Ovis aries: one gene and its partner. The protein of the gene in region 2 purifies or fractionates together with the protein of the main gene of each other region. This does not show direct contact. Links are inferred from orthologs where the notes say so. Each region holds a gene or a part of one and is shown on either strand. Other genes may lie near its edges. The genes, in order: POLR2G and POLR2M.

Evidence for each region.
Region 1: the proteins of POLR2M (region 2) and POLR2G purify together in Homo sapiens (affinity purification with mass spectrometry; 4 studies listed by BioGRID and IntAct, counting the BioPlex papers as one, with this or other methods). This does not show direct contact. The link is inferred for Ovis aries from reciprocal best matches to the Homo sapiens genes POLR2M and POLR2G.

What each region holds. Positions count from the first base shown.
Region 1 is NC_056074.1:37,612,621-37,624,068, reverse strand, and holds POLR2G (DNA-directed RNA polymerase II subunit RPB7), read right to left. Parts: upstream 6,973-11,448; 5' UTR 6,894-6,972; coding exon 6,882-6,893; intron 6,751-6,881; coding exon 6,641-6,750; intron 5,449-6,640; coding exon 5,289-5,448; intron 4,768-5,288; coding exon 4,717-4,767; intron 4,611-4,716; coding exon 4,545-4,610; intron 4,445-4,544; coding exon 4,244-4,444; 3' UTR 4,182-4,243; coding exon of another isoform or gene 4,083-4,181; 3' UTR 3,943-4,082; coding exon of another isoform or gene 3,929-3,942; 3' UTR 3,725-3,928; downstream 1-3,724. UniProt on the Homo sapiens protein: Core component of RNA polymerase II (Pol II), a DNA-dependent RNA polymerase which synthesizes mRNA precursors and many functional non-coding RNAs using the four ribonucleoside triphosphates as substrates.
Region 2 is NC_056060.1:50,691,280-50,702,132, reverse strand, and holds the end of POLR2M (protein GRINL1A), read left to right. Parts: intron 1-1,640; coding exon 1,641-2,288; intron 2,289-5,255; coding exon 5,256-5,460; intron 5,461-6,485; coding exon 6,486-6,632; 3' UTR 6,633-10,637; downstream 10,638-10,853.

The DNA of each region.
Region 1 (11,448 bases), on a different chromosome or scaffold from region 2:
GGCACGGTGTCTGCACATAACACACCCTCAGTAAACACCTGCTGAAAAGATGAGCACACAATCGCTATTTTTCTCAGTATATACTATGCCTGAAGCTTTGAGCTAAGTGTTTTATATGGCTTGCACCTCATTTTGTCTGGATTAACAATGAGAGAGGTATTAAGTAAACATTATGTCTGTTTCACAATCAGAGCTGAGTGGTTAAATGTTAAATGATTTTCCCAAGATCATCTGGCCAGCACTACCTAGGTAAGGGAGCAAGAACTCAACTCTCATTGTAATCATGAGGAGCGGAGGACTGTTTGGGGAACAAGGCCTGGATTCCCAGTCCAGGGACTCGGCGTTGGAGACCCGCCAATGGCTGTTAACCTTCTTTCTCCACCTGTAAAGTAGGAGCAGCAAGTCCTGCCCGCGGAAGGCGCCAAGGAAGTTTCCCTATTACGTGCCCACATTACACCCCACAAAGTCCGACTCTGACCAAGGTCTCCAGTTACTCAACCTCCTCTCCACATCCTCAGCCACTAGCCACACCGGTAAGGAGGCGTGGGAACTGACCTCTGCCGGCCTCCGTGAAGCGCATCCTCCCACCCGGCCGCGCTTCATCCCAGCTCGAGAGGTGGGGGGGGCAGGGAGGAGGAGGTCAGAGGTTACCGAACTGGGGTCACGTGGTCGGCGAAGGGGGCGGGCCCCCAACGGAGCGGGCGCCCAGGCCGGTTAGCGCGCAACCTGCAGCGGGACGGCTCTGTGAGGGCTTGCTCACCTGATGGCTCAGGGACGGCGAAGGCGGTTACCGAGACGGCGGTGGCGGTGACTGCGGCGGCGGTAGCGGCGGCAATGACCCCTACTCACCCTGCTCGTACTAATTCCCTCTCTCGGCTATCAGGCCCCGCCCTCCACGAACACAGCCAATCGGCGAGCGCCTTCAGGAGTTCCTGCCCACAAAGAAGCGTCCCACTACCCGATTGGCCACCGTGATGGCGCAGTAGACGGCTCGGTCACGTCAGAGGTCACATGATGTGGAAGACTCGCGCCTCTTAAAGCAACAGCTCTTCGGCGTTTTGTTGGGTGTGTAACGGCTCGCTCTACGTTTTAATAAACATGTTCTCGAGGAAACCATCCCCATTCCTTTGTCTACTCCTGAGTTTCAGAGCACTTGCATTTACGCGAGTGTATTGACGCTTTAGACTGGCGTCTGCCTTAGTTTTGCTGCCTGCTTGGTGGGGCTCAACTTAAACTCTCCAACATCCCCTGCCACTTCCCCTTCCCCAAGGTTGAACCTGAATCTCAGTAGGCAGAAGGGTCTTCTCTGCTGGCAGAAGGGTCTTCTGACTGGGCCAAACACACCCCGTGCCAGCTGCAGACTCCAGGGCTCTGCCGATTCGGGCACCCTAGCTCATATTCTCCCCATTTCTGTCCTGTAAGCCCTCACCTACCTCACAAACTTCCTTGACCATTTTACACTGACACACTTCTCTGAACCTGGGCAGTTCTCAGTTGAAAAGCAGTTAGCTTAGTGAGTAAAGCATATTTGGAGTCATAGCAAAAGGAGTTCAAACTCTGATACTGCTTTTGGGCAAATTACCTAACCACATTTACGTATCTACAAAATGGAGTAAGAATACCCATCTCACAAGGTTATTGTATATTAAAAGAGATAATGTAGATTGAGCTTTGGTAGTGAACTTTCACTTACACATCACGAGGCAAACAGTGAATTAATCCCTTTATGTTCATCCAAGATGGGACCATTTGCAATGAGCTATTTATTAAAGGAGCTTTCTGCAGAAGAGCATGAATGTACACAACCTCGCCCTTCCTCCCTCTCAGGGTTAGATGCTGCTGCCTCTAGAAAGGAAGATCCTGAGAGGGGAGCTGAGAAAGCCAGGTGGATGTGGCGTTGCCATAGGAACACTACCTAAGGAGACTGACACCCTGCTGAGATTCCTCCAGTCATACTCAGAATGACATGTTATGTAATCTCAGGACTGTGGTTGGTCCCTGGAGTGTCTGCCCACTTATGCATGAAAGGAAGAGGGGGTTCCTCCGAAGTTCTGAGTCTGAGATCAGATCTCCTGGCTGTCGGCAGGCCTCCTTGCAAAGGTGTTACTGGTAGGGACAGCCTTTGGTCACCTTGGCAGCATGAGACAATGAAGAGAGGAAGGCCCGGAGGCCTGCAGGACGCAGTGAAGCGCCATCCAAGCTGTCTGGGGCTGATCTGCCTCCAGCTTGAGTCAAGGCAGGGGCCAGGGAAAGGAGTAAATACCCTGGCCACAGCTGGGAGAAAGGTGGCTCCCTCTCGCTCCCCAGACACCCAACGCCTGGCAAGAAGAGTTAAGATGGTTTTACACTATTAAAAAAAAAAAAAATACAACTCCACTACTCACTAGCTTTGTGACCTTAAGCATGTTAGTTCATCTATTTTATCATCTGTCAAGTGGGATGACAAAACATTACACTGAACTGTTGAGAAAATTCAATAATGTATGTAAAGGACTGAATATATTACCAGGCACATACTCCTGTCACTATTAAGCCTGTGATCTCTTCAAGAGGTTGTAACTTCCTGAGAATTCCCTGATGATCCAGTGGTTAAGACTCCACACTTAGGGATTTCCCTGGTGGTCCGCTGGCTAAGACTCTGCACTCCCTATGCAGTGGGTCCAGGTTCGATCCCTGGTCAGGGAACTAGATCCCACATGGCGCAATTAAGACCCAGTGCAGCCAAATAAATTAATTTTTTGTTTAAAAGACACCACACCACACTTTCATTGCTGACAGCTCAGGTTAAATCCCTAGCTGGGGAAGACAGCCACTTGCACATACAATCTCTAACACAGAGCAGCAATGCTCTGACATACCATCCAAAGAGGGTTGTATGATCGTATTACAATAAGGAAACATAAGGTCACCCAGCTAGGACTAAAACCCAGTTCTGTATCAACCCAAATACTGTGTCTTCTACTACACAGCTCTGCTTCTTAAGGAAGTCAAGGAAAGCTTAAGAAAACAAAAAATGATAGATTTGATAGATTACTAGGAAACAAGCAGATAGCTTGGGAAAAGACATTCCAAGTTAGGCAAATAGTATTGCCAAGACTCAGCATCGAGGGAGGGTGGTGTGTTTGTTCAATCTTCTTCTGTATATTTTTGTTGTGTTATCCCAATGAGATTATGAGCCCTTTCATATGTTCAGTTAGTATATTAATTGAGTAGCAAACAAAGGCTATTGTTTATGTGCCCATCCTAAGGACTGGGACCCCACAATCTGTATCATTACTGTTCTACTATTCACCTCCCCAACCCTGATGTCTCCTCTTCCCCCTTCCCAGCTACAATCTTGGTTATTTTAAAGGCTTTGAGAAGAGGGCAAATTCTCTGAAACTAGACCGGGGCCCTAGACCAGAGTCGCTCTAAGGATACAACCATTTGCTGAAAATCAAAGACCCAACAAACTCTGGGAGACAGTGGGAAGCCTGGCAAGCAGCAGTCCATGGGGTTGCAAAGAGTCGGACATGATAAGCGACTGTACAACAACGACCCAACGCTACAGCCTTACCTTCAGTGAGGTCAACTTGAGACCTTGGCAAGAGGGTCAGTCAGATCCCCTGGTGGCTGAGGCTAGTTAAGGCATCAGGCCTAGAAAAGAGGGGCTAGCAAGCCACCAGCCCTCCAGCCTTTTCACAAAATGAGTTGTTCTTGCCAAAGAAAGGAGATGACACTTCCATGAAAATCAAGGACCTTTTATGGTTAGAACGCACAGTCAAAAATCTGGGAGTGGTTGCTAAGCCACAAGAAGAGCCAGGTGTCTTCTGAAGGCAAGGAACCCTCCTTGCCTCCCCGACAGCAGCCAGACTGGGCCTCTGGACAACATGGGAAGTGTGACAGTCACACCTCCTAGATAGGGACCCAACAAGGTAGGTCATGGTGCTCAGCTCACAAGCCCTGCCGAAAACAGAAAAAGCACAGTGGTTAGAACCAGAGCTTGGGACAGCCCTAACCATGCACTTCTCATTCCAGGGGGCAAGTGTCCTTGGTCTTCCAAGCAGACAACATGAGAGTTTCTTTCAACAGTGGCTCAGGCATTAAATTCCATATTCACCTCCTGCGCCCACACACCCCTCCTCTAGACAACAACCCTGGAACTCACCCAAGTAATCATCCATCAGGGAGCCGATAGCAAACTGCAGGAGGAAAGGAGAAATGGAAATGAACCCAAAGCAAGCAGAGAGCTCTCCTCTAACCCTCAGCCCCAGACCTTCTGCCCACCCATCTCTTTTTCCGGGCAGAAGAGCACAAAATCCCCAAGAACTCTGAGTAGCAAGAATGCAACAGCTCGGCCTGGTATGAGCAGGGAGGCAGTCAGGAGACTCACGATGTCATTCTTGTCCACACGGGTCCCCACGATCTTCAAGCGGATCTCATCGTCCTGCTGAATCACAATGTCCTGGGGAGGAGGGAACAGTACACTCAGAAACCCCCAGGCCAATACCCTCCCTCAGAGTGGCTCATTCCCCTGGCCCTCTCACCAACTTCTGCCCACTCACCTCATCCATCGTTTTGTAACACGGTGGGTTGGAGTTAGGATCAAATTCCATCTCTGATGGGATGGACTGAAAGGAAGGTCAAACTGGGTAAGAGCACTTGAAAAGGATGCTTCAGTAGATTCTCATGAGTACAGGTCTCCTTCTTAGACCCACCCAGCGTGCCTAGACTTACGTGTCGAGAGATGAAGCAGGACATGGGCCCGATTTCTGTGAAGAGTCCAACCTAGAAGGGAAAAGAGAGACCTTGCTTTTTCTTTTGTCCCCCAGTCTCCTAAGCCTCCCATCTTTATCTGGTTCCTAACAATGTTCTTCATATTCTGAAACCACTCTGAAATTTGTCATGTGTGTGTTTGTTTTTCCAAGCTTTCATTCTAAGCTAAGGAAGTGTAGCAGTAAACAGCTGAGACCTAGAACTTGTCCTTCTGGGTTTTGAACACTTGTTGGACACGTGACCGTGGCCAGAAGACTCAACTTCTCCAAGCTTCAGCGTGGAGATAAAAGCACTCATTTCAGAGTCAGAGGCTTTGCACACTACCTGGTCCACAGTGGAGGCTACTACTGTTCTGACTCACTATTGACTTACATGCCCCTGAGTGAGGCAGTACCATACTATTTGACAGGTGAGGAAACCTGAAGCACAGAGAAGTGATCTGACCAAAGACACAGAATTTGACCAAAGTGGGACCCATCCCAGATCTTCTAAGAGAGGGACCTTCCCACTACCTCCCCTGTGGATGCTCTTACCTTGTTGACCTGAGTTACCACCGCATCCACGACCTCCCCTTTAAAGGGCCGGAAAACAATGGCCTTGTACTTAACTGGATAAAGGACAAAGCCTCGGCCTGGCTGGATCACACCAGCACCGATATTGTCGATGGTGGTGACGGCAATTACAAAGCCATACCTGCAAGGAGGCAGAGAAACTGAGACACTGTGTGTGGAAGAGCCTCTGAAACCATCTGCCACAGCAGGGCTTCCCTGGTGGCCCAGTGGTTAAGAAGTCCCCTGCCAATTCAGGGGACGCAAGTTCAATCCCTGGTCCCCGAAGATTCCACACGCCACAGAACAGCTAAGCCAGTGCGCTGCAACTACTAAGCCCAAGCCCTAGAGCCCGTGTGCCTCAACAAGAGAAGCTACCACAATGAGAAACCCACACACTTCTCATTTCTGCTGCGACTACAGAAAGCTCGTGCAACAACGAAGACCCAACGCAGCCAGGAAAAAAATACAAAAAAGCATCTGCTGCAAGAGTCACGGACCCTAGAGGTAAAGGGGGAGCACAGAGGGGGGAGTAGTCGGCCCCCTGGCCCCAGGAGAGCTTAATGATCAAGAGAGGAGACAGGACAATCAGCAGCAGCTATAATGCCAAACGCTGCTCTCATAATTTCACAATCAGTGTCCAAAAGGGCTGCAGTCCTTAATCTCAACCTTGGCGATGTCTCAGAATCACCTGAGAGAAACATTAAAATGCCTGTTCCCGGGCTGGTCCCCAGTCTTGATGCTGTAGAAATGAGATGAGGCTCAGGAACCTGTATGTTCAAAGAACACCTCAGCTTACTCTGATGCTGGATACCTGAGTACTCTGCGGCCCTGCTCCTCCCCCCTCATTTACTTCACCATGTGCGGAGCGCCTCTGTGCAGAGCCCAGAGATGGTCAAGTCTCACTCCTCTTCCTTCCTCCGGTTAACTCTCAATCTGCCTTATCCTGCCCATTCATTCATTCAACAAGCTTTTAGTGAGGCCCAAGATGTACCATGCCAGGTCCCTGGGTATGAGGGATAAAGAAAGGGCTGACCTCATTTTGTCTTTTTCACTGCATTGTTCCCAGGGCCCAGTCCTGGCACACAGCCGGAGCTTCAGAAATGTTTGCAGAGTTAATGACAAATGTTGGCTGAGGAAAGGCAGTTCTGTTATGGAGCTTCACAGAGGGCACCGTAGGAACCCAAAGCAGGAAGCAGCTAACTGCCTGGAAGGGTGAGAGGGCTTGCCAGGGTAGGTAGCAGAAGCTTTCACGGTGTGTAGGCGCTGGGAAGCGGGTGCAAGCATAGAAAGCCGTGTGCGCAGTGTTTAGGCGGCAGGGAGGGTGCGACACTCACTTGCCGGTGCAGGTCCCCTCCACCTCGGTGAAGAGCTTTTGTTTCACCGTGTTGAGCAAGTTAGGGCCGAAGTATCGCGGGTGCAGCAGAATCTCGTGCTCCAGGGAAATCTGGGGGGAAACTGGAATGGAGTCGGGCAAGGAGCGGGAGGAGTATGAGGCAAGAAGCCGCCCCTAGTCCCGGCCTTCCGCTTGCTCCTCCTCTTGACCCTGCCCTCGCCGCCACCCCGTGCCCTGCTCACGTGGTAAAACATCTTCCCGAAGGAAGCTGAACAGGAGCCGGGTCTACCGCTTCACGAGCAGCGGAGCCGCCACACCGACCGGAAATACAGCAACCTCTCCAACCCCGTTTCCGGGCCTGCCCCGAAAAGTGGGCGGGACTCACAGCCTCCACGGGTCCCCATTGGGCTTCGCTGTCGTGGGTGGGGAAACCCATGAGGCTCCTCCCCTCCGTCCAGCCGTCAAAGCGCCCAACTCCCTTAAGCATAACAGTATCTCGCATAGATTAGATGCTTAATAAATACCTTTAAAAGGAATTAATTAATGAGAGATCGCATAAATAAAGCGCTTTAGCAGAGTCTATTCATTCTGCAAAGAGTTGAAGACTGCTTTCACATAGTAAGCATAGTAAGAAGCTATCCTTATCTCAATTAATCTAAACAGCAACCCTACCCGGCAGGCTTTGTTATTACTTTCATTTACAAATAAGATACCAGGCTCAGAAGGGTGAGGTCACCCAGGGTCGAGATTCAAATTCAACATGCCTGACTCCAAGGCTCTTGCATATTCAGGCATTTATTACCGGGCTCTTGTAGTTTGGAGTTGAAACCGGCCTAGTCAGAGCCCAGAAGGCAGCGCCCCCTCCCGGTGTGAAAAGAACCTCAAGTCACTGCTCTCCTCTAACCACCCTCCCCCGCCCCCTTACACACAAGGGCCTGTAGAACTGGTGAGCAAACTTTACCTGTTCCTTCAGCTCTACCCCCCCCTTTTGCAGATAGTCCCTTTATTAAACTCAGCACAACGAGAATGAGCATGTAGTCTGTGGGCTGCTGAGTCTCGGAAACACCATGAGACCCGCCCCTATGACAAAGGCTCAGCAAGGGCGGCTGGTTCTAAAGCCTCCACAGTCCCTGGGGTCTTGAACAAACTCGCCTGTTGCCTGAGCAAGTTTTAGTATATTGTAAGCAAGAAAGCCTGATTTCCTTAGAGCTGTCACACACCGGTTTCCATTGATGCTGCCCATTTCCTAGAACGATTGAGGTTGTTGGTCAGCTGCTCAGACTCCATGGGGATCCCCTCCACCAGAGACCACATGAGGAAGCAGACAGCAGATCAAAGGGCAGGCCTCAACAGCCTCAACTCCCTCCTTCCCTCTTTTGAAACCAGCCTCCCCGCAAGAGCAATGGTGTGGTGTGCTGGAGACCCTTACAAAAGCCAACTGTTAATATTTCAGGCACTTTGCAAGCCAGTTGTTAAACACAGCAGTTATGAAAAATTTAGTTGTCTTAACTTATGATTAAATGAATTATACTAAAGAAGGCAAAGACGTAGATGAAACAAGTTTAGCAATATATTAATAATCGTTGAAGACAGATGATGGATAATGGTGGTTTCTTACACTTTCTTCTACTTTTCTGCGTTTGAAATTGTTCATAATAAAAAATTTGAAACAAGACAAAAGTAACTGTGATATTTATAATAAAAACACCAACACATATATACTTGGTCTTCTTCCCCATTTCTGTCACAGAACTCCTAAAACCCTTGGAATTGCCTAAATGATAATGATACCTTGATATTCATAACAAACCTCTTTCAGCCACACCTGAGTTTTTATCAGTGAAGTGAATTTTGGAAAGCACCTAAGCCAGGAGAGACAACCAAGTGACTGGAGGGTTGGAACTTTCAGTCTCAACTCCCTGACCCGGCTAATGAACTAATCAACCTTGCCAGTGCGGTGAAAATCTCCATAAAACCAAGTGGATGTGGTTCAGAGAGTCTAGGGTTGGTGAAGACCTGGAGAACTGGGGAGAGTGGTGAGTTCGGATGGAGTATGGGAGGTCCACGCCCTTTTCCCAGTCAGAAACACAGCTGACTGCTGCTCAGTCGCTTCAGTCGTGTCCGACCCTGTGCGACCCCATAGACGGCAGCCCACCAGGCTCCCCCGTCCCTGGGATTCTCCAGGCAAGAATGTTGGAGTGGGTTGCCATTTCCTTCTCCAATGCAGGAAAGTGAAAAGTGAAAGTGAACAGCCTGACTTAAAATTGCCATTGGAAGGGGAGGGCAGCCTTGTAGGGCAGCCTTGTAGAGCTGCGATCTTAACATGTGGAAACCTGTGTTATCTTTGTGCTGATGGTGTCAGAACTGAGTTAAATTGTAGGACACTTATCTGGTGTTTGTGATTTGCTTGGAAGTATGGGAGAAAAAACACACACACATAGTAATTAGAGTCAGAGTCTTAAAACTCTCACTTCCTGTTTAATAGAGTTTACTATTACAAATGCTCTTCAAGTTATTTATACCCATTGTGTCTGTCTGGTGTAAGTGTTATATATAACTGTATATGCAATTACAAGTATAAGAGTTTCAGTTGCTCTGACATCCTCACCAGCACTTGGTGTTGTCAGCACAGTTTGTTTGTTTGCTACCCTAATAACTGATTATAATTGTGGTCGTAATTTTCAGTTCCCTAATGACTAAGGATGTTGAACATCTTTTCATGTGCTTATTTGCCAAGAGTGATATTTTCAAAACTTAAGCCAAATCTTGTCAATCCCCTGCTTAGAACCCAATGGTTTCCCAAGGCACCAGAATAAAACCATCACTCTTACCTACCAGGCAGGGGCCAGATTTAGTCAACTGTATTCTCTGCCTCTCTTCCTTTTGCTTTCTCTCTTGCCACACTGGCCTCCTCTCCCACCTCAGGAGAACTTGTTTCCTCTGCCTAAAATGCTGTTGGCTCTGATTTTCACCTGATGGGGATGTGGGAGCTTCTTCTCATTCTTCAGGTGTAAGCTCAGAGTCACCACTTCCGAGAGGCCTTCCATGGCTACCCTGACTTAAGTAGACAAACCGCAGTCACACTCCTCTATTGTATTGCTTTGTTTTATTTTCGTCACAGAAGTTGGCTCTGTTTGGCATCTTTTTTCCTTTGGCTGTGCTTAGTCTTTGTTGCTTCATGCAGGCTTTCTCTAGTTGCAGCAAGCGGGGGCTACTCTTCATTGCAGTGTGCAGGCTTCTCACTTCAGTGGCTTCTCTTGTGGCAAAGCAAAGGCTCTAGGGCATGTGGGCTCAGTAGTTGTGGCACACAGGCTCAGTTGGCCCAAGGTATGTGGAATCTTCCTAGACTAGGGATCGAACCCAGTGTCCCTTGCATTGCAAGGCAGATTCTTAACCACTGGACCACCAGGAAGCCCCGGCATCATCTTATTAATTTATTCATGTGTATACTGCCTGTTCCTCCTCAAGATGGGCAGGAATTCTTGCTGTTTTGTTCCTCTATATCTCTGAAGCCTAGAAGAGCCCTTGGCGCACAACAGGTACTCGGGATGTATTTGCATCCGTAAGTGAATCTCTAGCACCTAACAGTGTGCTTGGCAAATAATCAAAGTGAAAATCGCTCAGTTGTGTCCAACTCTTTGTGACCCCATGAACTATACAGTCCATGGAATTCTCCAGGCCAGACTACTGGAGTGGGTAGCCATTCCCTTCTCCAGGGATCTTCCCAACCCAAGGATTGAACCCAGGTCTCCTCCTTTGCTGGTGGATTCTTTACCAGCCAATCAACCAGGGAAGCTTTAACAGTGTGCTTGGCAAATAATGGAGTTTAACAACTATGGGTGGACTGAACCCCATTCTTGTATTGAGTGTATTATTATCTCTTCAAGGTCCTTAGGCTTTGCATGGCCATATAAATTCTCCCCTAGCCCTCATATCTTTGCATCCAAAGATTCAGAATTTAGAGATTAAGCTAGAACAGAAAGGAAATAGCAATGGAGAACAATCAGCTGTATTGACATTCGGAATACAAAGAAAGTCTGCTGATGGATTGTTTCATTTAGCTTTTGGTGCACAACAAACAACTCAAAAGCTTAGTGTCTTAAAACAACCACAGTAATTTATTTTTCTCATAAATCTACAATTTGAGCAACACTCAGTGGGGAAGATGTACTCCTGTTCCAGGCAACATGAGCTGGGGCAGTTCAGTTGGGAACTGGAGGATCCACTTCCAAGATGGCTCAGTCACATGGCTGGCAAGTTAGAGCTTGCTGTTAGCCAGGAGCCTGGTTGTGGCTGTGGCTGAAACACTTACAGATACCCTTTCCATGTGGTCTGGTTCTTCACAGAGTGGTGGCTGAGTTCTAAGTGCAAGTACCCCCAAGAGGACCAGGCAGATCTGTCTCTTCTTATGACTTAACTTTGTAAATCACATGACATCACACCGCCCAGACTCAAGGCGAGAGATCTTACAGCGAGGAGCATCAGTGCCAAACTGTAAAAGGAGCATGTGGGAGGGAAGATCTTGTTAAGGCCGCCTTGGAGAACACAATCTTGTGCAAGAATAGGTCTTGCCAACCTGCACAGTAGAGACGAGCCTTTGTGATGATGTCTGCCACCTGATGTCTCCCAAAGCCATGTACACAAGTAGCAGGTCCAGCCCCTGAAGGGCAATCTCTGAGCGAGGACCATCCAGCCCAGCTGCCCCTCCCCCTGGTTCTAGGCTCCTCAGTAGAGAGGGTGACTGGCAGGAAGGCCAGGGGTCTCCAAACGGAGGAAATAGGCTGCAAGTGTCAGACATTTTTTCTCTCT
Region 2 (10,853 bases):
GGGAACCCTGGGACGGGCCCCTCCCCGCCCCCATCCCGATCTCTTTCCTGGAAGGTCACCTTGTCTTAGGTCCGTTCCAGGCCCACGGGCTAGTGGCCGGCCTACAGTCACAGAGCTACCGCGTACAGCCCGGGCGCCGGGCGCCCGTGTTTCTGGCTCTCCAGCGTTTCAGCTCCTCTTTGATTTTACTTACTCAGTGCCTGTGTCGGCCCTCCAAGGGGAGGGTCTGTATCCCCAGTCCTTTCGCTCCCTTTCCGCCAAATAGTGCCCCAAACACCTAGTAAGTTTCATCTCTAGATCCCATTTTTTTACAGGAACTGTAGGAAGTGGGAAGAGTAGGGTAAAAGAGTGGCTTCTTAGGCAAAGTAAGTTTGGTTCACACTTAGCTGTTAGACTTAATGGATTTTAGCAGAGAATAGGTGTAAAAATAATGATTTTTTTAGGAAGCTTATTTTAGCAGTTTGGTGCAGGAAAATTTGAAGGAATAAGAGGCAGAAGAGACTAGGAGGTATTTTCAGAGAAGTTCTCCAATAAGGGGATTCTAAAAAAGTGAACTAGAAGGGTAGCTGTGGGATTGGGGAGACTAGATCAGGCTTAGGATCATTTGAGTATATGGTTGACAGAGATGGCTGAAGTTTCCAACCTGTATGGAGCACCATTAATAAAAGTAGGAAAACTGGAGGAGGGTAATAGTCTGACACTGATTTTACTTACTGGAGCTTAGTTAATGGAAAAGTTAATTACATTTGATTGAAAGCTGGAGAAGTGGTCATGAGGCTGGAGAGAGAAGAGAACGTTGGGAAAATACAGACCTCTCAACTGGGAGGAATGTTAATAGAATTAGGAGAATGAATGTAGTGTCATAAAGAATAGAGGGTGTGAGCTGTAACCTTCCCTCCACATTTATTGTATGGCTAAAGAAAAGGAAATCAGAAAAAGAACTTTTGCCACTTAGCCAAAGTGGCAAATGATCACTTGGGGATTTCCTGGTAGAGACAACTATTTTGACTGTGAGAATGAGTGAGTTAACTTTTTAGCCTCAGGACCGCTTTAACTCTGAAGACTTACTGAACATTTTGAAGAGCTCTTGCTGTATGTGTGTTATATCGACTGATAGTTATCATTGTCTTAGGAGTTACAAGTGAGAATCTTTAAAACACAAGAACACAAAAACGCATTCTATTAGCCATCAGAACAATGCTATCATCCATATCATGTTGCCTCTGGAAAACTCCCCTGTACTCATGGTAAGAAAAGAGAGTGAAAATGACAAATAGTACCTTAGTTATTATAAATAGTTCTGACCTTGCAGATCCATCCACCTCCCCTCACCAGGAAGGTCTTGGAAATCACACTTTAAAAACTGATTTGGGGCATGTCTTATATTAATATCATGCTTAAAATACTTCTGCAGAAATTCTAATTGTTAATAGATGAGACAAACAAGACATAGTCCCTAATCATCCTGTAGTCCCTTGTTTTGAGGGGTATTTGGGTAATGATTCTCTTATTTCCGGCAGCTGGAAATCAGTTTTTTGACTTAACGGTCGATTTTTCTCCCTTTGAGAATACTACTTTGTATATCTCAAGTTTAAAAACATGGCTCTATGTAACGTATACCTATTCTTTTCCTTTTGTAGAAAATTCATTTGCAAATTGCCCGACAAAGGTAAAAAGATCTCAGACGCTGTCACCAAACTGAAAGCTGCCATTGCAGAACGTGAAGAAGTTAGAGGAAGAAGTGAACTCTTTTATCCTGTTAGCTTAGACTGTAAGGAGAGGCAAAAAGCGATTGCAGTTGTTGATGGGGGCAGAGATAAGGCCCAGAATTCTGACCAGATACTTGATACTTCATCACCTGTTCCTGGCTGTTCGTCTGTAGCTAACATCACATCATCTCAGACAACCTCACGACAACAGGGACTGGAACATCTGACTCGCGGAGGTGATGCTGAGGCAACTGAGGCTGAACACACAGTGAGCAAGCACCCACCTTCTAGCAGCAGAGCCCCAGCACCTTCCTCATCTGAAGCTAGTGAGGGTCTCCCTCAGCATTGTGCCTTAGGTCAAGTGGAGGATCATCCTGGCAGCTCAGACAACCTGTTCATTGATAGATTGCAAAGGATCACAATTGCGGATCCCACTGAACACCACTCAGAAGGAAACCAGAGTCCTGAGAACTTGGCCGGCCTCTGGAGTAGGCCCCAGAAGAAGCCTCATTACATGGAAGTGCTGGAAACGCGAGCCAAAAATCCCATGCCCCCGCCACATAAATTTAAAACCAATGTGTAAGTACCATCAGAAACAGGCTTGTTACAGGAGCATGATATTTGTTAAACTCCCAAAACTGGGAGACTGCATTAAGTTCAGTGGACTTGGTATGAGAACTGCTTGTACTTGGGAATGAGCGTATTGTAGAAGCAGTAAAACGAACATGGCTGGAGTGGAGGATTCTGGCTGGAAAATGCTTTCTTTTTTTAGCCAAGTAATTGAAAAGGTTTTCAGTAGCAGATGGGACATTAAACTTCAGGATACTTAGGCAAAATTTTATATAAAACATAGAATTAGAGAATTTATTATAATTGTTTCCAGAACCATATTCTTGTACATAGCTCCTCCTCTAACTAGACTATAAGCTAAGAGGAAAACAATTGTAGGAACCAACGGCCTTTCTCAGTAAAAAATATTTGTGTGCTCACTGTATGTAAGCAGTAGGTGCTGTGGCAACACACGAGTAAAGATTCTGTTCCTCATAGAGTTTAGGGTCTAGATAAGGACTCGAGGCTTACACACTTGGAAGAACATTAAAGTATATAATCATTTCAGGAGGAAGGGAGCTGAGAAAGGGTTAAAAAAGCAAAACAAGTTTGGGCAGGAGGGGCAAGTGAACTGTACTTCTAAGTTCCTTGTCATAGTTTTATTTCTGAGATCTTCAGAAAAAAATCTCTTCAAAAAGAGTATTATTTATTTATGTGCAGTTATAACACTCTTATCAGGGAGTAGTTTTATAAGACATTAATATCAGATACAGGAAGCTTCCTTGGTGACTTAGTGGTAAAGAATCCACCTGCCAATGCAGGAGACGCAGGTTCGGTCCCTGGGTCAGGAAGATCCCCTAAGAAGGAAATGGCAACCCATTCCAGTATTCTTGCCTGGGAAATCTCATGAACAGAGGAGCCCGGCAGGCTGCGGTCCATGTGGTTGCAAAGCATCTGACACAACCTAGCAGCTAAACAACGACAGATACAAAGTTTAACCGCTACTGCTTTTCTTTGAAAAACTGAAAGCTTGTAGTTACAAGTACCTAAACCAATTTTTTTATTATTATAGAAACTTTAAAGTTCAATTGTATCTTACTATTCATTTTTTTAAACCTCAAAACTATTTGTTCTGCATAGAAAACCAGAACAAATAGTTTTGAGTAGAAAACCAGTGGAGAAGGCAATGGCACCCCACTCCAGTACTCTTGCCTGGAAAATCCCATGGATGGAGGAGCCTGGAAGGCTGCAGTTAATGGGGTCGCTGAGGGTCGGAAACAACTGAGCTACTTTCACTTTGATGCATTGGAGAAGGAAATGGCAACCCACTCCAGTGTTCTTGCCTGGAGAATCCCAGGGACAGGGGAGCCTGGTGGGCTGCCGTCTATGGGGTCGCACAGAGTTGGACACGACTGAAGTGACTTAGCAGCAGAAAACCAGAATTAATTTTTAGTTGGGAATAAAAAGTAATCTTTGATTAAGTAATTACTCATCTTGTGTGTGGTGAGGTATCTTTCCTCACTTTGAAGGAGGCAGAAAACCAGAAGCATCATCTAGTCAATACATACAACAGAGAGTACACTGACCCTGATTCTGTATTGTGGTCCTTTAGCTGGAAGTGGGAGGAGAGGAAGGGAGTATCCGTGAAGGTTCCCAGGGGAAGTTTGTGAGCCATAGAGACAGGTGCACTCATCAGAAGAGGATGGGCTTTGGGGAGCCAGGTGGTAGACAGTTGGAAGTAGCGGGGGACGCAGGTGTCCCTTGGCTGCCTCTTGCATGCTCTTCCGGCTCTTCTGATGCGGGGGGCTGCCTCGTCTCTTCTAGCCCTAGTCTACCCAGAACTTCAGATTTGCAGAGTCAGTTACCTATGAAACCTGGCCACATGGGGGTGATCTGTGCACCTAAGATTTGTCCTGTACAAAGTAGAACTCACTTCTTCCCAGACTACTTTGTCCCATATTCCCTAAGCCAGTAGTGCCAGCACCTTCTTTCTTCCCCTCCTTTCCATCTCTGCCAGCCATGGGGCCTCACAGTGTATTTCCTGGACCTTCGTCTAATCATCCTTATGTTCATCGTTTCTCCTGTCAAAGTGAAGATGCTCATCACTGTCCTGGCCCATAGTTGTTTTCCGTCCTGGCCTAGTCTTAATTCTACCAGTCCCTCCTGTCCACTGCTGCCAGAGTGCAATTTGTAGAGTACAAACCTGAACCTGTTGTGCAGACTAGAAGTCTTCCATGTGCCCTGCACCCAGCCTGCTGCCCCAGCCTTTTCTGTACTCTCCAGCTCCCATGCTTCCTGTGAGCTGCAGCCCTATCAGTCCTTACTCTGGTGAAATGCCATCAGAGATCCTATCATTTACATGTTGAATCCTTATTATTCCAAGACTCCTCAGATTGCACTCTTTTTGAAGTGTTTCTGCCAGCCATCCTGTCTCCCATTACAACAGGCCATTCCCTTGTCTGTGTTCCAGTGGGCCTGTGCCATAGTACCCGTGATACTACATTACACTGAAACTGTTCACAAATTTAATTCCCTCTGCTAGATAGTAAGCCCCTTCGCAGGCGTTTTTGAATGAGAATAGGCTTCAGCTCGAGTATAAGCTTTTGGGGGGGCTTCCCAGGTGGCTCAGTAGTAAAGAATCTGTCTGCCAGTGCGGGAGACGTGGGAGATGAGGGTTCGATCCCTGGGTGGGGAAGAGCCCCCTGGGAGGAAATGACAACCCACTCTACTATTTGGAGAGAGGGGAGAGGCAATGAGTGTAGCTATCTGTTAGAGGAATGCATTGTCAAATTACCAAAAAAGGTGCCAATTTAAATATTTGTTTTTGAGGTAAATATATTTAAAAGGAACGTTTTATCTGTGCATGTAAATAGTGGTAAAGGCCTTACTATTACCTTTATAGAACAGTTAGCTGCCAAGGTTGAAGACCACTTTCGTTGAATGCTACAAATGTGTGTCTGTGAAAAGGTGGTGTAACATAAGGGTTGCTTCCTGCAGATTACCTTCACAGCCGCATGATTCTTTGAGTGCTTGTCAGAGGAGAGGGTCTCCCGTCTCCTCAGAGGAGAGGCGGCGCAGGGACAGGAAGCATCTTGATGACATCACAGCGGCCCGGCTTCTGCCGCTGCACCACCTGCCGACACAGCTGCTCTCCATAGAGGAGTCGCTGGCACTTCAGAGACAGCAGAAGCAGAGTTACGAGGTATTTAGAGCATGGCTTGTTCCTGTCTGCATGTTGGACGCTGCTTACATGAGTCAGAATTTACTCTAGGCCTTTGGTTTTCACAAAAGCTAGGTTCGCATGGATTTTCAAGACACTCGTTTTTAAAAGCTAGTTTTCATCCTCTCAGTTCATTCAAGTTATTGCCTAGTTGTAACGAAGGGTTGAGGAATTGCTTCTTACCTTGTTTGACCCTAAATGCCTGTGTGAAGTTATTTTTAGGTTGAGTTAAACCGTTCAGTTTGGAGTTGGTTTCCTTGGCAGAGCAGTAATAATTCCACTTCAGTCCCACCTACCTGTACTACCCGTGGCCTGAAGGAGGGACATAGATGAGTTCGAGTAGGTTGGGGGCAGCCTGAGAAAAGTGAGCCAGATGAGGAATGAGCATGCGGTGCCAGTCAGTCAGTGACACCGTCACTGGGCGTCTGCAAGCACATTGCTGCTCTTTAAGATTTACTTAGGCTTTTTATTGCATAGTAATTTTCATGGGAGTTAATTTGGTGAGGGATAATCAGTTTTTAGTATTCTTTGATTTTCACTGTGGCACTGAAATGTCACTCTCGAGCCTAGAAGCCATAATCTAATCCAGGAAAGAAGACTCTTCCAGTTGGAGGGTCAGTACAGCACTGGTGGTTTTTGACGTTGATGGCTCAGATTGCTCTTCAGGGTTGTCTATGCACGTGCGCCTGCCCACATGCTAGAAAGTAGGTTCCTGTGTATAACTGTCGCAGTGCCAAGCTGATTGCTCAGTTTCTCGCATAGAAGTCGGATATCTCAGTGCACACTGTTTATCAGTGGAAGTCTGTGATCACCGCTGTAGCAGGCTGGTAGCTCTCTCCAGCCCTGCCCTGTGATGACTGTGTCTCATTCCCTCAGAGGGCGGTAGAGAGCCCAGAAATAAAGGGGCATGCCCTTCCAGTGAAACTGGTTCTATTCCAGTGACTTCCCCTTGAAAAATTGTAGGGAAAAGGTATGAGTGTCTAACTTTTTGCTTTTTTGTCTTAAAGGAGATACAAGCCAAGCTCGCAGCACAGAAGCTAGCTGAAAGACTAAATATTAAAATGCAGAGCTATAATCCAGAAGGGGAGTCTTCAAGGAAATACCGAGAAGTAAGGGACGAAGATGATGATCAGTCCTCCGAGGATGAACTCTGAAGATGGATGTTCAGATCATCTCCCAAATCTCTGCCTGTTGAGATCTCATTATCTTACATCAGACTGCCTAACAAGTATCGAGATCAGTGTCAGACATTGTTGAGAGAAAGAATTTTGTAAAGTTATGCTAAGGAAACTATAAAACGAGCCCACTTTCAGATGATAATTTTCATGTCCTTGAAAAGTTGAATATTTGAATATTGTGTTTAATGACACTATATTAAATTTTGGCAGTATGTCCTGTGTTGGTCTGATATTTTAGTATATAGTAAGCACATTTTTTTCTCTAAGCCAAATGAAAGCAGGTGATTAAACTGCTTTTTTCTTTATACTTACCTCTACCAAATAATGTTTATTACATGTCTTAGTGAATTATTTAGTTGTCCCAGGCATCACCTAAAATGAATTATGAAGATATAATTCCCTCTTTTTTTGAATAACGAAGAAGCCTAGATAATTTTGTGCATGTTTTCATGGGGGCTATTACAGTACTGGACATTAAATACCAAGGAAGACACTCAAAGAAAATGCTTAAATATTTGTTTCTTTCTGTCTTTCCTTAGGAAATATGTTTTCTTTCTTCTGATAAGGAATATGCGGTACTTTTAGTTAATTCTAGAGGGTGGGTGGTCTCTCTAGATGACCAGATTTGCCTGGTCATGGAGTAACATGAGGAACAGGAAAAGCCTTAAGGTGATTGATGTTTGTGAAGGGAATAGCTGTTGGTGGTTTAGTCGCTCAGTTGTGTCCAGCTTTTTGCGGCCCCATGGACTGTAGCCTGCCAGGGTCTTCTGCCTATGGGATTTTCCAGGCAAGATTACTGGTGTGGGTTGCCATTTCCTTCTCTAGGGGATCCTTTTGACCCAGGGACTGAACCTGTGGCTCCTACATCTCCTCCATTGCAAGCAGATTCTTGACTGCTGAGCTACTGGAGAAGCCCTATCTGTTGTTAGGCTTGGCCTGACTTGACTTCATTGTTCTAGCAGATGATAGGTTCAATTTGATAAGACAACCAAAAAAATTTCCAAAGCCACAATTGGTTTGTTATCAAAATATATTGCTTCCCCGCCCCCACCCCAAAAGAGACTTATGTAGGCTGCAGAAATCTCAATTTCATGTATAATTTCAAAGGATTATATGGTTGTCTCCAGAGAAATTAACAAATATGTTGTCAGAGTTTTGTCTAACATGTTGGTGCCTTTAAGCAGTGTTGAAAGAATAAAATATTAATTAGAGCAACCTGAAAATGCTAATGGTGATGTTTTACTGCTGCTTAATTCAATGTAACTTAGCTTTGAAGGAGGCTTTTCATATATGAAATTTGAGTTAGAGTGCATTTAGGGAGATGTAGGTGTGGTAGGGAACGCTCAGTTCTGTGTCCTGTCCTTTTGGGAGTAACTTTATCGCCCTTTTGCTTTCCTTCCCTCAAAAAGCAAATGTAGGACTATCCTGCACAGTTTCGTTATTTTTAGTTTTTAAAACTAATTATAAATGATTTCACATCCTAAAGTTATCTGATGCTCCTTCTTTATTAAAATAGTCATTCAGTTATGTCCGACTCTTTGTGACCTCGAGGACTGTAGCCCACCAGGCTCCTCTGACCATGAAATTCTCCAGGCAAGAATACTGGCAAGGGTTGCCATTTCCTTCTCCAGGGGATATTTCCAACCCAGGGATCGAACCTGGGTCTCCTGCATTGCAGGCAGATTCTTTACCGTCTGAGTCACCAAAATAAATAAACGTTATTCCTGGAAAACTGATCATGGGAGGGCTCCCATGCACATACGTGTAGTCCCCTGTAATCCTACCACCCAGAGAAGGCCTCTGTTAATATTTGGGTACAAGGACATATGCATACTTTTCTATGCATATCTATACATTTATATTTTCAATAATGCAGTCATACACTGGTTAATATTCTGCTCTATATACCATTAACATTTCCACATGCTAAATATTTCACATTTTAGATAGCTGCAGAATATTCCATTTTATGGGTGTGCCGTAACTTTTAACATCAATTTGTTTCACGATGTGTTCATTATAATGCAAATTGAAATGATAAAATCAACATGTCACATCTGTAAAAAAAGTGACTTATTTCCAAATGGTACCTTTCTAGAAGGAATTGCTAGGTGAAAGTAAATTTTTGAGACTTGATACTCATCACTCCCCACAAAGGCTGTCTTCCTTAATGTTCCCACTAGCAATATAAAACTATCAGAATTGCAAGTTGCTATTCAAAATATTTGCCAATAATTCCAGAAAAGGGCTTCCTTTAAAATGTGTTTATTTGATTATAAGTGAAGATTTGAGAGTCTTGTCATGTTTATTGACCATTTTCATTCATTGTTTTGAGCATTGCTTCTTCATATCTTTCCTATATTCCCTTGGCGAGTTTGCCAATTTTACTGTTTTATAAGTTACTTTATGAATTAAGATGTCCATTTTGCCATGTGTTATTACTGTTTTCAACACGTGACTTGCCTTCTAATATAGTCGGTGGTGTTTCTGTGTAGAAGTTCTTTTCTTAGGGTCTGCCTTTGCAGGTGTGCTGTGTGTATGTGTGTGTGCTCAGCTGTGTCCAGCTCTTGGTGACTCCATGAACGGCAGCCCGCCAGGCTGTTCCACCCCTGGATTTCCCAGGCAGGAATACTGGGGTGGGTTGCCATTTCCTACTCCAGGGGATTTTCCTGACCCAGGGACTGGACCTGAGTCTCATGTCTCTTGTGTTGGTGGGTGGATTCTTTACCGCTAGTGCCACCTGGGAAGCCTGTGCAGGTGTGCTAGGGCCTGCTTTCCCTACCCCAAGGATGGGTACAGATTGATCCTTATTTTCTTTTAGTACCTTAAAAAATTTCACTTTTATACTTACCTTTAATTCAGAAGGAAATTTTTAATCCATCTCAAACTTGGGAATATTATATGAGGTGAGATTTAGTTTTTTAAAAAATCTGCATTGTACTGGTATAGAATATTAAATTCCTGTGTGTGTCTTGGACCTAGGCCTTCTAGTTTTTCCACACTATTTAAATAAGTATGATTCTAGTCAGTGGTATGTTTGGTAGTATGAGTTCTTCCTCATTCTTTTAAATCTTGTAAAATGTACAAGAAGTACATAAAACAGGTGTGCAGTTTAATAGATGAAGCAAACAGCTATGTAATCACAAACCAGAGGCTCAAAAGCCACTGCCAGCACTCCAAAATCTCCCTGTGTGTTCCTTCCAGCCTCCCCTTTGTCCCCCAAAGGAAACTACTAGCCTCACTTTATGGCAATACTTCTTCTCTTTTAAAAAAATGGTTTTACTTGTTATGTGTACAACAATATTGTTTGTTTTTCCTACTTTCGACTTAAAACCCTGGAATCACACTGTATGTTGTGTCTAGTGCCTTTCACTAAACACTTACACAATGCACACTGTGTGTCAGTGTGATTTACTCATTTTCATTACTGCGTGATACGCCATTTCATTAGTACCACTTTATTTTACTGAGATGGGCACCTCTATGATGTTTTCCATTCAGGGCTATTACAAGCAATGCTGCAATGAACATGTTTTGCACATAAACATTTCTGTAGGGTATTTACCTAGGAGTTGAACTGCTGGATTATGAGACAGGTATATCTTTAACATTTATTATCCTTCCCCTCATCCCTCACTGTGTATGAGAGTTCCAGTTCAACACTTGATGTTGCCAGACTTTAATTTTAGTGTGTGATGTTTTTATAGAGACATTCACTGTGCTTTTATTTTGCATTTCTCTAATTAGAAACAGCCTTTGAGCATCTTCCACACGTTTACTGGTCACTGGGCTTCTTCTTTTGAAAAGTGCGCATTCAAAACCTGTCTCTGTTGTGTGTGTGTCGGCCATCTTACTCATTGATTTGTATACATTCTTCGTACTAATGGTTATTGAGTTTGTTGTAAATATCCTCTCCTCTGGTTACTTTCCATTGTCTTCATGGTTTTTTGGTGAATAAAAATTCTTCATTTTAATGACAAATATATTCATCTTTTATGTCTAGTGTCCTTTGTAGCTTTTCTTAAGGAATGTTTTCCTACCCTGAATTCATGAAAATACTGTCTTTAAAAATCTTTTCATTTAAATAATGCTTTTTAATTTTGCCTTTCTTACTGTGTTATGCTTGACTTCCTGTGGGAGGTACCTGTGACTGTGTGAGGAAGGGTCCTTCTGTGTAGCCACTGATCTGGCACTGTG